3 linked regions of the Oryctolagus cuniculus genome follow. The protein of the gene in region 2 interacts with the protein of the main gene of each other region in a biochemical or structural test. Links are inferred from orthologs where the notes say so. Each region holds a gene or a part of one and is shown on either strand. Other genes may lie near its edges.

The links.
Region 1: of the proteins of RRAD (region 2) and CAMK2G, one has a biochemical effect on the other in vitro, tested with the Homo sapiens proteins (2 studies listed by BioGRID, with this or other methods). The link is inferred for Oryctolagus cuniculus from reciprocal best matches to the Homo sapiens genes RRAD and CAMK2G.
Region 3: of the proteins of RRAD (region 2) and PRKACA, one has a biochemical effect on the other in vitro, tested with the Homo sapiens proteins (2 studies listed by BioGRID). The link is inferred for Oryctolagus cuniculus from reciprocal best matches to the Homo sapiens genes RRAD and PRKACA.

The regions. Positions count from the first base shown.
Region 1 is NC_091446.1:64,901,893-64,906,381, forward strand, and holds the start of CAMK2G (calcium/calmodulin-dependent protein kinase type II subunit gamma), read right to left. Parts: upstream 2,992-4,489; 5' UTR 2,860-2,991; coding exon 2,795-2,859; intron 1,446-2,794; coding exon 1,351-1,445; intron 1-1,350.
Region 2 is NC_091449.1:49,756,798-49,761,210, forward strand, and holds the start of RRAD (GTP-binding protein RAD), read right to left. Parts: upstream 2,970-4,413; 5' UTR 2,787-2,969; intron 2,582-2,786; 5' UTR 2,567-2,581; coding exon 2,191-2,566; intron 1,563-2,190; coding exon 1,489-1,562; intron 1,372-1,488; coding exon 1,167-1,371; intron 324-1,166; coding exon 46-323; 3' UTR 1-45. UniProt on the Homo sapiens protein: May regulate basal voltage-dependent L-type Ca(2+) currents and be required for beta-adrenergic augmentation of Ca(2+) influx in cardiomyocytes, thereby regulating increases in heart rate and contractile force.
Region 3 is NC_091447.1:62,974,389-62,978,104, forward strand, and holds part of PRKACA (cAMP-dependent protein kinase catalytic subunit alpha), read right to left. Parts: intron 2,265-3,716; coding exon 2,166-2,264; intron 1,363-2,165; coding exon 1,280-1,362; intron 1-1,279.

The sequences.
Region 1 (4,489 bases), on a different chromosome or scaffold from region 2:
GGGCATCTGACCTCCCACATATCTCTACAGCAACCATCGTCTTGGACTTAAGGTACCCAGAGAGAAAGAAAATAAACAAGTCAACCTTACAGCCAATGTACACATGAACAGCAAGAGAGAGGGACTGGGTAGGAGGCAGCACAAACCCAGCTGGTGGGACGGAGAGTCTCCCCAGCCGGCAGGCGCAGAGGACCCTGCTAAACAGTCCTAGAACACCTGCCAACATGTCAGAATTCCACTGTCCTCTCTGGAATTTCATAGCTTCTCTGAGTGCTGGGAACATCTATTACATCTCTCGCCCCAGAGATGCCCACGTCATTACTGGCCGAAGCCCATATCTTCCCCAGGGCATCTGGCCTGGTTCCTAACACACCTGTGGCATCCTTTAGCCCAGCCCTAACTCCCTCCTCTGAGTGTCATGACCTCTGTCCCTCAGCTGCATCCTGCAACCCTCTGGGACCTGACCTCCATACTCAGCAGCCTCTGTTCAGAGCACTTTACACACGGCTGGGTCTACACCTATCAGATGAGGTAACTTGGCAAGCACCCAGTACAAGGTTCAGAGAGCATACGTTCGAGGTGTGAAAGACCGGCCCTGACCCTCCCAGCCTCAGGTACTACGGGGGATCTCACAGGTGAGGCTCCAAGGCCTGAGCCCTTCTGCTCCTCAGAGCCTAAGGCAGCGCAGCTCCTGCCCAGACCAGGCCACTGGGATCTGCAGACCATGAGGCATCACCCTCCACTCCGGACAGACGACATCTGCTTGCTGCACCACCAACTTTGTAATTTGATCAAAAAAGCAATCAAGTTCATCTGGCAGGATTTGTTCCCGAGAAGCCCTCGCCAGTAGCAGCCTCCCCTGATGTTTACAGACTCCCTTCCCTTGGGAGTCTGCTCTGCCGCCTGGTGGGCAGGGCAGGCTGGGTCCGTCAGAGCTGCTCACTCACTGCCCGTCTATCCTAAGTCACCACCAGGGCACGGGGACCAGGACAGGCCTGCAATGGCCACTACAGCCTCAAAGACAGAGGCTCCACGTGCCTCATATTAAGAGTTCTCCGTTCTACACCACACACCACCCTCCAGCCCCTCCCCCTCTTTAAAGACCAAACTCCTTCAAGCCTTCAGGGACCAGGGCAGAGCCGCGCTGCCTACGTCTCCTTCTGTCTTTTCAACCTGAGCACTTCAGCTCCCCAGTGCAACTCCTCGTCTTGCTTCAAAGTCCACCCACCCTGAAATTTCAACTCTCATCCAAGTGCTAAAACACACAGCGCCCGACTCCTGGGGCAGCTTCTCAAAGAGTCACATCCCCTAGGACCCCTTATGGAGAGGCCAAGAAGGAGGGATGCTCACCTCGGGCAGACAACTTCTTGGTATTGATGATTTTTGCTGCATACTCTTGCGTGGAGGTTTTCTTCACACACCTGCGGACCACAGAGAAAGCACCCCTGGAGGGAGAAGGGGGAAAGAACTGGGACACGGAGCAGCGCAGTGTGACACAGACACACTTCAGGTCTGAGGGCAGGGATGCTCCCCCCACCAGACCTCTAGCCACACTCACACACCGAGCCGTGACCACCTCGTGACACTGCACAGACGTGGTTGGAGTACCACCCTGCTCCCACCCCTGATGGAGGCCCCCGGCAAGACAGCAGCCTTAGCTTTGGGCTGCACATCAGGAGCTAGTGGGCGATGCTTAAAACACACACCTGCTGCATCTCACTGATAACCCTGGGTCCTGGGTAACACAACCAGGGGAGAGAAGGAAACACAGAGACCCTGTCCTTCTCAGCAGGAAGAGTTGAAGGTAGGGGAAGGAGAGGTCAAAAACAGGATATAATCAATCTTCTGAGAGAAAAATCCCTCTTAGCCATGGGGAAAGTGAGGCTCAATCCCCCTCCACGCGCGCACACATACGCGCGCGCTCACACACACACACACACACACACGGCTTCATCCCACTGCATCCCAGCTCAACTGACAGCAAAGGAAAAGAGAGGACACAGTTGTGAGTCTGACATCAACAGCGCCCTTTCCCCATGATATTTTCCTCTACGTCCCCCCAAATGGGAGCTCGCACTCCCGGGCTCTAGAAACGTCTGGGGGGCGGGCAGGGCGGGGGCTGCAGTGGCCGGGCTCGGCGCCGCGGGTGGGGGTGGGGGGGCCGGGGCTGCAGCAGCGGCCAGCTCAGTGCGAAGGGGAGGGGGATGCTGCGGCTGCGGCGCGCGGCTCCTGGGACCACTGCAGGGGTGGGGGGAGGGGCCGGGGGTGCTGCAGCGCTGCCCAGCAGCGGGGTTGGGATCCTGGAAGCGGCACTAGCGGGGGGGCGGGGCCGGCCACCAAACATCCCCCCCACTCCCAGGCACCGCAGCGGGTCTGAAGCTGCAGGGCTGGGGAGGGTCCTGAGTGCCAGGCGCGTGGGACGTGGGGACAGGGTGCACAGTGAGCTCCGGAGCAGGGTGGGGAGGGGGCGGCGAGCAGGAGGGGTCGGGGCAAGGGTGAGGGAGGGGCGGGGCTGGAGGGCGCCCAGGAGCTGTTTGGGGGGCTGCAGTCCCCGCGGCAGAGCGGAGTGCAGCAGCCCGCGCAGCTGCTGCGGGGCGCAAAGGGGGCTGCGGGGCATGAAGTGGGGGTCGCGGGGGTTCCGGAGGCAGCAGGCGGGAAAGGCTGGGGGTGGGGCGGGCCGAGGGGGCGCTGCAGCGGCCAGTGCAGGGCCGGGGGCGGGGCGAGGAGCCGCATAGCGCCCGGGCGGCGGGGGCAGGGTGGGGGGCCGCGGCGGGCGGCGGCGGGCGGGCCGTACTTGCCGAGCTCCTCGAAGAGCTGGTAGTCGTCGGTGAAGCGGGTGCAGGTGGCGGTGGTGGCCATGCTGGCGGGCGGGCGGACGCGGCGGTGCAGCCCGCGCCGACGTCGGTGCACAGTCACCGCCGCCCGGCCGAGGGAGCAAGAGGAGGAGACGGGGCTGAGCCCGGCAGCACCGCGAGACTTTACCGGGGAGAGCGAGGGAGGGAGGGACACCCCCGCGCCCGCCCGCCCGCCCCGCCCCCAGCCTCGCCGGCCCCCCCCCCGCCCGGCCCCCGGACCGCCCCCGGGGTGGGGCCTCCCGCCACTGGCCCCGCCCTGCCCGGGAGCCGCCCGGGCTGGGCCAGGCGTGCTAGAGAACCTGGAGGAGGGGTCCCAGCTCCAGGGCACCCGCCAGAGCGGACAGAGGTTTGCGACCAGTAGACTCGTCCCGGAGCCCACCCTGCAAGGGCTTGGGAATGTGTGTGCAAGGGTGTACGTGTTAGGAGTGGTGGAAGGGTCTGGACCATCCAGCTCTCCGGAGAGGCCCCCCCCCCCAGGCGGGGTCCCAAGTCTCCCCCCATCCCCACCCAGGGCTCACTTCGAGTGCAAGGCGTGCCAAGGTCAAGCAGCCCGAGTCACAGCCCAGCTGGTGCAGAGCCAGCTGCTAGCAGCCTGAGGTCGTGGAGCTGACAGTCTAGACTTGGGCAAGCACCAGGGCCATTATTAGGAGAACTCGCATCAGGTGCCGTTGGATCAGAGCGACCAGGCCAGGGACAAGGATACAGGTGGAGCTGTGCCTTCCTGTGCTGGATCTTAGAGATGAGAGAATGTGCTCTTTCAGGCCAGTGAATGAAAGGGATGGTGCGGTAATGCTTTCAAAAGGCTCCGTGCTTGGGCACTACAAAAGCAAATGGAAAGATGGAGAAAACATCCCCATTTTCTTGCAGAGCACCCTGCACTTGTGTGGCAGGGTGGATTTTCTGGTGTGAGAGACAAGTAGAACTACAGCATATTTATCTCAAGAGGGAACTCAGATTAGACCACCAGGCTCAGACTGGCAACTCAGTGGCCAGTTGTGTGAACTTGGGCAAGTTACTTAATTTTTGTCTGCCTCAGTTACCTTATCTGAAATTAGAAATAATAATAAGTATCTACCTCATAGCATTGTGAGCATTAAATGAGCTAAACCACATAAAGCACTTAGAATAGTACCTGGTACCTAAATAGAACTGTTTGCTGTTATAATTTGTTTAATATTTGCCTTCTCACTAAATTATAGGTTCCAATAGGGCAAGGCCTCTGCCTCCTTTGTTCACCACCATATACTCAGCCCCAGACTCAGTAAATATTTGCAGAATGTTAAAGGGAGTTATCACCCCTTCTTCTGTCCCTACGAGGACAGGTTGGTGGGACAGAGACACATAATTCTCAATGGAGGAGAAATAGGCTGGAAAGTTTTCTACCCTGCCTGAGAGAGCTGTACCCCAAGTCCAGTGCCAGCCCCTACTGGGCAGGATGGCGCTCAGCCAACTGCAGCAGCTCAGCCTTGATTACAGCAGGACGCCCACTGGGAGGCAGGCCTCCATTGTCTGCAGGCTCGCTCTGCCTGGAGGAGGCAGCTGAGAGGCGCCCCAGCCCTCCGAGCTGCCTCCCAGAGGGGTGGGTGGAGCAAAGCTCTCAGGGCTGGCTCCCTCCTTTCCCTACCCAACAGCCC
Region 2 (4,413 bases):
CAACTCGTCCATCCATCCGCCCGCCGCGGTGACAGCCCATGGGGCCTAGAGAACCGACAGGTCGTGGCAGGACTTGGACTTGGCGCGGAAGGCCATCTTGCGGCTGTTGCGCGCCACGATGCGACCCAGGAAGCGCTTGGCCTTCTTGCCGAGGCTCTCCCGCCGCCGGGCACCTGCCTGCCGCCGGGCGTTGGCCTCCTTGCTGTCTCTGCGCAGCCGGATCTGACGCACGATGCCCTCGAACAGGGCCTGGACGTTGTGGTGCAGAGCGGCCGACGTCTCGATGAACTTGCAGTCGAAGACCACGGCGCAGGCCCTGCCCTCTGGTGTGGGTGGGGACAGACACGTGCCAGTCAGCAGAGTTGGGTAGGGTGGCTCCGGAGCCCGTTCGGACCCCAGCTGCCCTTGGCAGCTGTTACTTCGGAGTCTGCAGGCAAGGGCAGGGAGTGCCGGGGTCTTCCCGAGAGGCACAGAGAACCCAGAGACTCAGGCCGAGGGCCACCCCACAGACAGAGTGTGCCCACATTTAAGCAGTCCCCAAATCAGGGGTCCCCACCCCTGGTTAATGTGCTGCAGCAACCTGGAGTCTAATATTTAAAGGGAAGTGCAGAGGTCGCAAACACAAGAAAACCCGAACAGTGTTGGAGTGCTAAGCGTTTTACCACTGGACATCATAACACGATGGTGGTCTATGAAGTGACGGCTCCCTGGACGGGGGCCTGGGGGCAACACGGCCAAGCCATGGGTAAGGAGGAACCACTGGGCTCCTCTGAGGGTCTGGGTCCTGGGGGCTACAGGGTCAAGCCTACTCCAAGACCGGCCTGGGTCTGGCATCCAGGCTCCGACCTGCGGGCTTGGTGCCCTGCACTGCCTTCTACGCATTCCCAGCCCACCCGTGAGGCCAGGGCTAAAGGGGCCGGCGAGGAGAGGCCTGAGTGGCACCTGCGCCCCCAGCAAGTTGGGCTCTCCCTCTAGTCCTGTCCCGCCTCCCGCAGCCCTGTGGGTGGGCAGCAGCTCTCCCCTGCCCGGCCCTCCCGCCCCTCCAGGTTTTCTTCCTGGACATTTTTAGTCACTGATGATCCCCGGACACTCAAGCTGAGCCAAGATGGACTGGGTCACAGCCCAGGACAGCACCTCCCTCCCCTTCCGACCTGCTGCCTGCTCACCGTCCACGGAGACCTCGCGAGAGCGCACCAGGTCGCTCTTGTTGCCCACGAGGATGATGGGCACGTCGTCCGTCTGCCGCGCCCGCCGCAGCTGCACCCGCAGCTCTGACGCCTTCTCGAAGCTACCCTTATCGGTCACGGAGTACACAATGACATACGCGTCCCCCATGGCCATGCAGTGGCCGGGCAGCCAGCGGCCCCCATCCTGAAGGACACACACACACACTCACACGTGGTTCCCAGGACTTCACGCCCCTGCCACGAGCCCGTCACTCCCAGCAGGCCCCTGCCACCCCACCCTGGGTCTCAGCCTGTATCCTACCTGCTCCCAAATGTCGTAGACCATGAGTGACGCCTCTTCTCCGTCCACCATGATGGAGCGATCATACGTGTGCCCTAGGCAGAAGGTCAGCAGCCAGGTTACCACCTGACTCGCAAGAGCCCTCCCCACAGTGGGGGGGTTCCTGCTCAGGCCACACCTTCCAACTCCCCCTAAGGGGCCCCTCCCCCTCCGCTTGCAAACCACTGCTGGGTGACAGGGCTGGGAGCTGGGGGATGGAGGGCACTGCACCCATGACCTCCAGCGACATGCCCCCAGGTAGGCCCTGTCCTGGCTGGGGCGCTCCCTGCACTGCTGCCTCACCCTGCGGGCTCTGACCACAGCAGCTGAGTTACAAGAGTGACTGTAACACCCCCTGAGGGCCTTGGCCACCTCCAAACTCCCTCTGGTTTTCTTCCTGGCAGCCTGGCAAGGAGGGATGGCCCAGCCTTTGCCACAGAGCTGCAGCATCCACACCCTGGGGCCCTCGCCGCTGGTATTTCGTCCCCTGCCAAAGGTGTTCTCTTCTCCCTTAGTTTCGCCTCCTTGAAAAAGAGTGGCTAGAGGCATGATTCTAAAGGCAGAGTTCCGCGGTATTTGCCACCTCCGGTCCAGGTCCCCGGCCCCAGACCACCCCCACGCCCCACGCGCCGTCTGTCACGACCCTGGGAATGCCCCCTCGCCTGGGTGACCCCATCCCCTCACCTGCAGCCTCTGCTTCAGGCCCGTCCTCCACTCCGCCGAAGATGCGCGCCAGAGCGCTCTTGCCCACGCCAGGCGCCCCCAGCAAAAGCACCTTGTACACGCTGTCGTCCGAGCTGCTGCCCCCCGAGCTGAGCGAGTCGGAGGAGCCCTCGGGCCAGTCCAGCCTCGGACCCTGGGTCGCCGCCCCGGCCGCAGTGGCCGCCAGGGCGCCGGGAGCCAGCGCCGCCTGCAGGTCGCGCTCGTCCACCGGCATGCTCCGGCGGTGCAGCGGCGGCGCCGGGCCCCAGGGCGTGCTGCCCCGACGGCGCTCGCGCTCTCGGCCCCCGCCGCGGCTCCCGCCCGCGCCGCCGCCGCCGCCGCCGCCGTTCAGGGTCATCGCGTCCGACGCCGTCTGGGGGACGGAGAAGCGGGACGGCAACATAAGCCGCGCGGGAGATGAGGCCCGAGCTGCCCCTGCCCAACCTCGAGTCGGGCAAGCGGCTCGGCGCCCAGGACCCGCCACAGTCCACTCCCCGCCACGAGGATCCTGGAGCCCTAACCCGCGGCCCATCCGCAACCCAGACGGAGTGGCCACCCCGCGCTGTCAGGACACTCACCCACGCGCTCACAGACACAGTCAGGACTGGGATCCGGGCTCCAATACAACCCCCTCGCACACCCGGGATCGGACACACACAAGCACTCCACCCGCCCCTGCGGCCGCCGCCGTTTCAGCTTGGCTGGTTCCGAAGCCTCTTATTTAAGCCTCTGCCCGCCCCCGCCTCCGGCCCACGCCGCTGCGGGGGCTGACGTGTCCACCCCCGCCCGGGGAATCCCCACCCTCCTCCTGGGACCTCACACTGAGCCCCCCCCCCCCCCCGCCCTCCAGGGGCGGGGCGGAGAGCTGCCGGGGCTTGGTGTGATTGTGTTTGAGAGGGGGGGCGAGGGGGAGAAGGGAGGAGGGAGAAAGAGAGGGACTGTGTTGGGGCACGATGGGAGGGGACGGGCCAGGGGGAACTGGACCAGCTGTGTCCAGTGCGGCAGCTCCCCACTGGGGAAGATTTAGGTCTGGCCCTTTCAGAGTGAGGTCTCCTTCTCTCCTGGTCCTGGCTCATGGTCCAAGCAAGTAGAGCAGTTATGGGGCGCACAATCACTCCCCACGGATCACTCAGATCGGAGCGAAATTGAGGGCTAGCTTGGACACCAAGTCCTTTCCCCTCCCTCCCTGTCCTGGGAGGCGGAAGTTCTCCCTCAGGAGCCTGCCTTTCTGGGTGAGGGCTGGGTGGGGAGCAGGCCACCCTGGGGCCATGTTTTGCAGCCGAGGTGTGGGCTCTGAAACCTGGGGTGGAGACACTGCCGGAGAAGGGAAAAGGATGGATTCAGCCTCTGCTCCTCCTCCCTCCCAGCACCCCCCAAGCAGCTGCCAGCAACTCTGCTAAAAATATCTGCCCCTGGCCATGACCCTGCTCCTGGTCACTCCGCTCCTGGGCTGGAGGCTGCCCCATGCTGGGGAAACCCAGGCCGATGCGGTTGGGATGCCAGCAGGGCCAGCCACCACAGTCTTCAAGACCTCCCTCCATCTCTCCAGTCCCCCAGGCAGCCTGCCGTGCAGGGCACAGCCAGGGCCTGGAGGTCCAGGCTCCTACCCAGGAGGGGTGTGAACAGAGTCAGGAGTGGGCTGCCACTTGGTGCCAGCACTGCCCAGAGTCCCCCTCCACATCAGACCGAGGGTGGGCACCAGGGCACAGAGGGCGGAGGCGGAGGGGAGAGCTTGGTTTCCAGTGCAGGCTCTGCCTCCAGCCTGCCGAGTCTCTCCTCTCCCGTCCTCAGAGGGCTCAGCTATAACCTGGGCTTCAGGAGCCGTCCCGCCCCACAGGGCGCTCATCTCTGGGGTGAGCACTGGGGACAGACAGGCTGAAGTGTTTTGTGGCAGGAAACTGCCATTGGATTCTGATGTTTGTGATGAGTATGCCGGCAGTGGGAGGGCACCCACTCGGGACTCAGGTGACATCACAGATAGACCCTGGTGAGCTGTCACAGGTTGTCATGGAGACCTGGTCCAGGCTCTCAGGCTGTTGCATCAGTTTCCTTAGCAACACCTACGATGGCCTTGGAATGACAATGGCCTGGTTAGTAAAGGTTAGAGGGCCCTCTTACTCACGAGGTCCCCAAAATAGATAAGAGCTGGGCCACGGGGTGGTCTGCCCAATTGTGCCTTCCACATGGGGGAGGGAACTTGGAGAT
Region 3 (3,716 bases), on a different chromosome or scaffold from region 2:
CCTCAAAAAAATAATAATAAATTAAAAAAAAAAAAAACAGAAAACATGGGGCCGGCACTGTGGCATAGCGAATAAAGCTGCCACCTGCAACACCAGCGTCCCATAAGGGCACTGGTTCGAGTCCCAGCTGTTCCACTTCCGATCCAGCTCTCTGTCTGGGACAGCAGTGGAAGATGACCCAAGTGCTTGGGCCCCTGCACCCACATGGGAAACCCGGAAGAAGCTCCTGGCTCCTGGCTTTGGTGGCAGCTCCGGCTGTTGCGGCCAATTGAACCAGCAGATGGAAGACCTCTCTCTCTGCCTCTCTATAACTCTGTCTTCAAATAAATAAATCTTAAAAAAAAAAACAGAAAACAGAGGCAGGTGGTGTGGCTCAGTGGGTTAAGCTACCACCTGTGATGCCGGCATCCCATATGGGCACTGGTTCAAGTCCCAGCTGCTCCGCCTCCGATCCAGCTCCCTGCTAATGCACTTGGGAAGGCAGCCCAAGATGGCCCAAGTGATTGGGCCCCCGCACCTGCACGGCCCAGCAGGAGAGCCACAGATCGGGGTACGTCCGATGGGCGCTATCTTGCCCCCTACAGGACACACTACAAATGCACTCCGTGACCTGGCTAGATTCAAACACACTCTGAGACCGAACTTGGAGCAGAGGGAGAGGCAAGTCCAACCCAGACCAAGCCCAATCACGGGTCCCTTTATGTCTGCTATCTATCTATGTATTTGAAAGGTAGAGAGACAGAGAGAGAGAGAGAGAGAGAGACAGAGTTCCCATCCACTGGTTCACTCCCCCAAGTGGCTGCAGCAGCCAGAGCTGGGGCTGGGCAGAAGCCAGGAGCCAGGAGCCGCATCCCGCGTGGGTGGCAGGGGCCCGGGCACTGGAGTCGTGAGCGGATGCTTCCCAGGCGCATTGGGCAGGGCGGGGGACGGGGCGAGCATCCGGCCTGGCCGCTAAAGACGCCTGGGTCAGACGCTTGGTCCCTGCGTGTGCGCACCCTGGGAGGCAGCAGGTGCCAACGGCTCAGGAATTCAGGGCCCCTGCCACCCACGTGGGAGACCCGGATGGAGCTCCCGGATGGAGCCGGCCAGCGTGAAGCTTCACCCCTCAGCCGCCCCGAGTTGGGTCAGGAGTCAGATGCCAGAACGGAGAGAAGACAAAGCCCACAGCGGCCAGCTCCAGGCCCCAGCAGGCTGCCCACCGCTGGGATGGACAGGCAGGCAGCCTATGGATCCCATCCCCCGGGGGCGGGGCCGAGGCAGGGGGCGGGGCCCGGCTTACCTGAACCTCCCAATCCGCCGCAGGTGTGAGAACATCTCCCCGCCGGGTACGTACTCCATAACCATGTACAAGTTTGAGTTGTCCTGTGAGAGGCCAAGTTTGAGTTGTCTGGCTCCCTGGTGCAGGTGCCGCCTGCCCTGACAGGTGCCCCCCGGGGGAGCGGGCAGGGGGCCCTGGCCAGCGTGCCCCTCCTGGGCAGAGGGAGGGCTCTACCATTGGCTTTGCGTCTTAGAGACAGAGGAAGGTTACCAGGGCCCCCCAGCAAAATGCAACCAGGATTAAAAAAAAAAAAAAAAGATGAATTTCAAGATGGTGATGGCAGAGCCCCCCTCCCCCCCATGACCACAGGTCCTTGTGACCGCCTGCCTGGGTCGAACGCCCCGTGAAGCTGGCCTGGAAGAGGCCCTCCCGGCTCTTGCGGCAGGGCCTTGGACAAAGTTGCACCTAAGACAGGTCAGGAGAAAGGGCATTCGCAGGGAATGTGCCGGAACCTGTCGCCATGACCCTAACCACTCCCGGGTTACAGGAGAGAAGATGGAGGCTGGGAGGGGAGAGATGCCAGCCCTGGCTTGCCTGGCCCGGGATGGATGGGAGTGGGAAACAGGCTGCCGTGGGGCTAAGCACGCCTCAGCCCCAGGCCCAGCCTCTGGCCCCGGCCCCGGCCCCAGCCTGTGCTCCAGCCCAAGCCCCGGCCCCGGCCCCGGCCTCGACCCAGGCCTCAGCCCCAGCCCCAGCCCCAGCCCCAGGCCCAGCCCCGGCCCCGGCCCCAGCCACAGGCCCAGCCCCAGTCCCGGCCCCGGCCCCGGCCTCAGTCCCAGTCCCGGCCCCAGGCCCAGCCCCGGCCCCGGCCCCGGCCCCGGCCCCGGCCCTGGCCCCAGGACCTCACCTTGAAGGAGAACTCGAGTTTGACGAGGAACGGGAAGTTAACTGCTTGCAGAATGCGTTTTTCGTTCAGGGTGTGCTCGATCTGTTTCAGCTTCACCACCTGCGGGCCGGGAGCGGGGTCAAGGTCAGGGTCAGGGTCAGGGTCAGGGAGCCGGTGGGAGGGCCACCCCATCCCTGCCACGGGTCCCCCAGACCCCTGCAGCTGAGGGTCCCTGGGCTGGGCTCACAAGCCTGTCCTGGCTCAACACACACACAGCAAGATGAGACACCAGGACTCTCAGCCCAGAGAGGTCAATGCTGGGACAGGGGGAGGCTTGGGGCTGGTGCAAACCCAAATAAGGCACCGTGGTGTAGTGTGGGGAGAGGCGCAATCAGAGGTGGCTTCCTGGAGGAAGGGGCAGCTGAGCTGCAAAGAAAAATAAAAGGCAAGCAGAGGCAGGCCCTGTGGCACAGTGAGCTAAGCGGCCGCCCCTGGAGGGCTGCATCCCAAGTTGGGGCACCGGTTCAAGTCCCAGGTGCTCCATTTCTGATCCAGCTCCCTGGGAAAGCCGTGGAAGATGGCCCACGTGCTTGGGCCCCTGCCGCCCACGTGGGAGACCTGGATGGAGCTCCTGGCTCCCAGCTCCTGGCTTCCAGCCCGAAGGCGGGGCCATGGTGGGCACAGGAGCTCTTTCTCTGCTTTTCAAGCAAAGATTTAAAAAGAGAGAAAGGAGGAGACGCTGCCTTCCCCTTATCTAGCCCAGCGACACACAGTGCCCAGGCCTCAGGCTCTCCCCGCACAGCGCGGGCCAGGAGCCAGAGCCGGAGCCTCACCCGGGCTCTCTGGTTCAGTGGTGACAGGAGCCCTGAGAGGGGCATGCTGGGAGCACGCCGGTCTGGAAGTGCAGGCACAGAGGGGAGGGGACGTGCCCAAGGTCACACAGCCGGCTAGCGCCAGGCCAGTGCGCCCCACACAGGTGGCCTAGGTCCCCGGTTAGCTGTGAAGCACCCAGCCGGGGTGTTTCCTGCCTCGACTCAGGCAGCTGGACCCTTGAGGCCTGCACTGTGAGGGCCCTGGATGTGTGGCCAGTGGGCTGGCGAACCGAATTTAAAATTGTCAGTATTGGGGCCAGCATCCCATATGGGCATCGGTTCGAGTCCTGGCTGCTCCACTTCCGATCCAGCTCTCTGCTAATGCGCCTGGGAAAGCAGTGGAAGATGGGCCAAGGGCTTGGGCCCCTGCACCCATGTGGGAGACCCAGATGGGGGTTCCTGGCTCCTGGCGATTGGCCTGGCCCAGCCCGGGCCATTGCAGCCATTTGGGGAATGAGCGATCTCCCTATCTCTGACACTCTAGCTTTCAAATAAAATTTCTTTTTCAAAAATCCATTTATTTAACAGGCAGAGCTATAGAGACAGGGAAAGACAAAGACCTCCATCCGCTGGTTCATTCCTCAAATGGCAGCAACGCCTGGGGTTGTGCCAGGCCAAAGCCAGGAGCCAGGAGCTTCTTCCAGGTCTCCTACGTGGGTGCAGGGGCCCAAACACTTGGGCCATCCTCCACTGCTGTCCC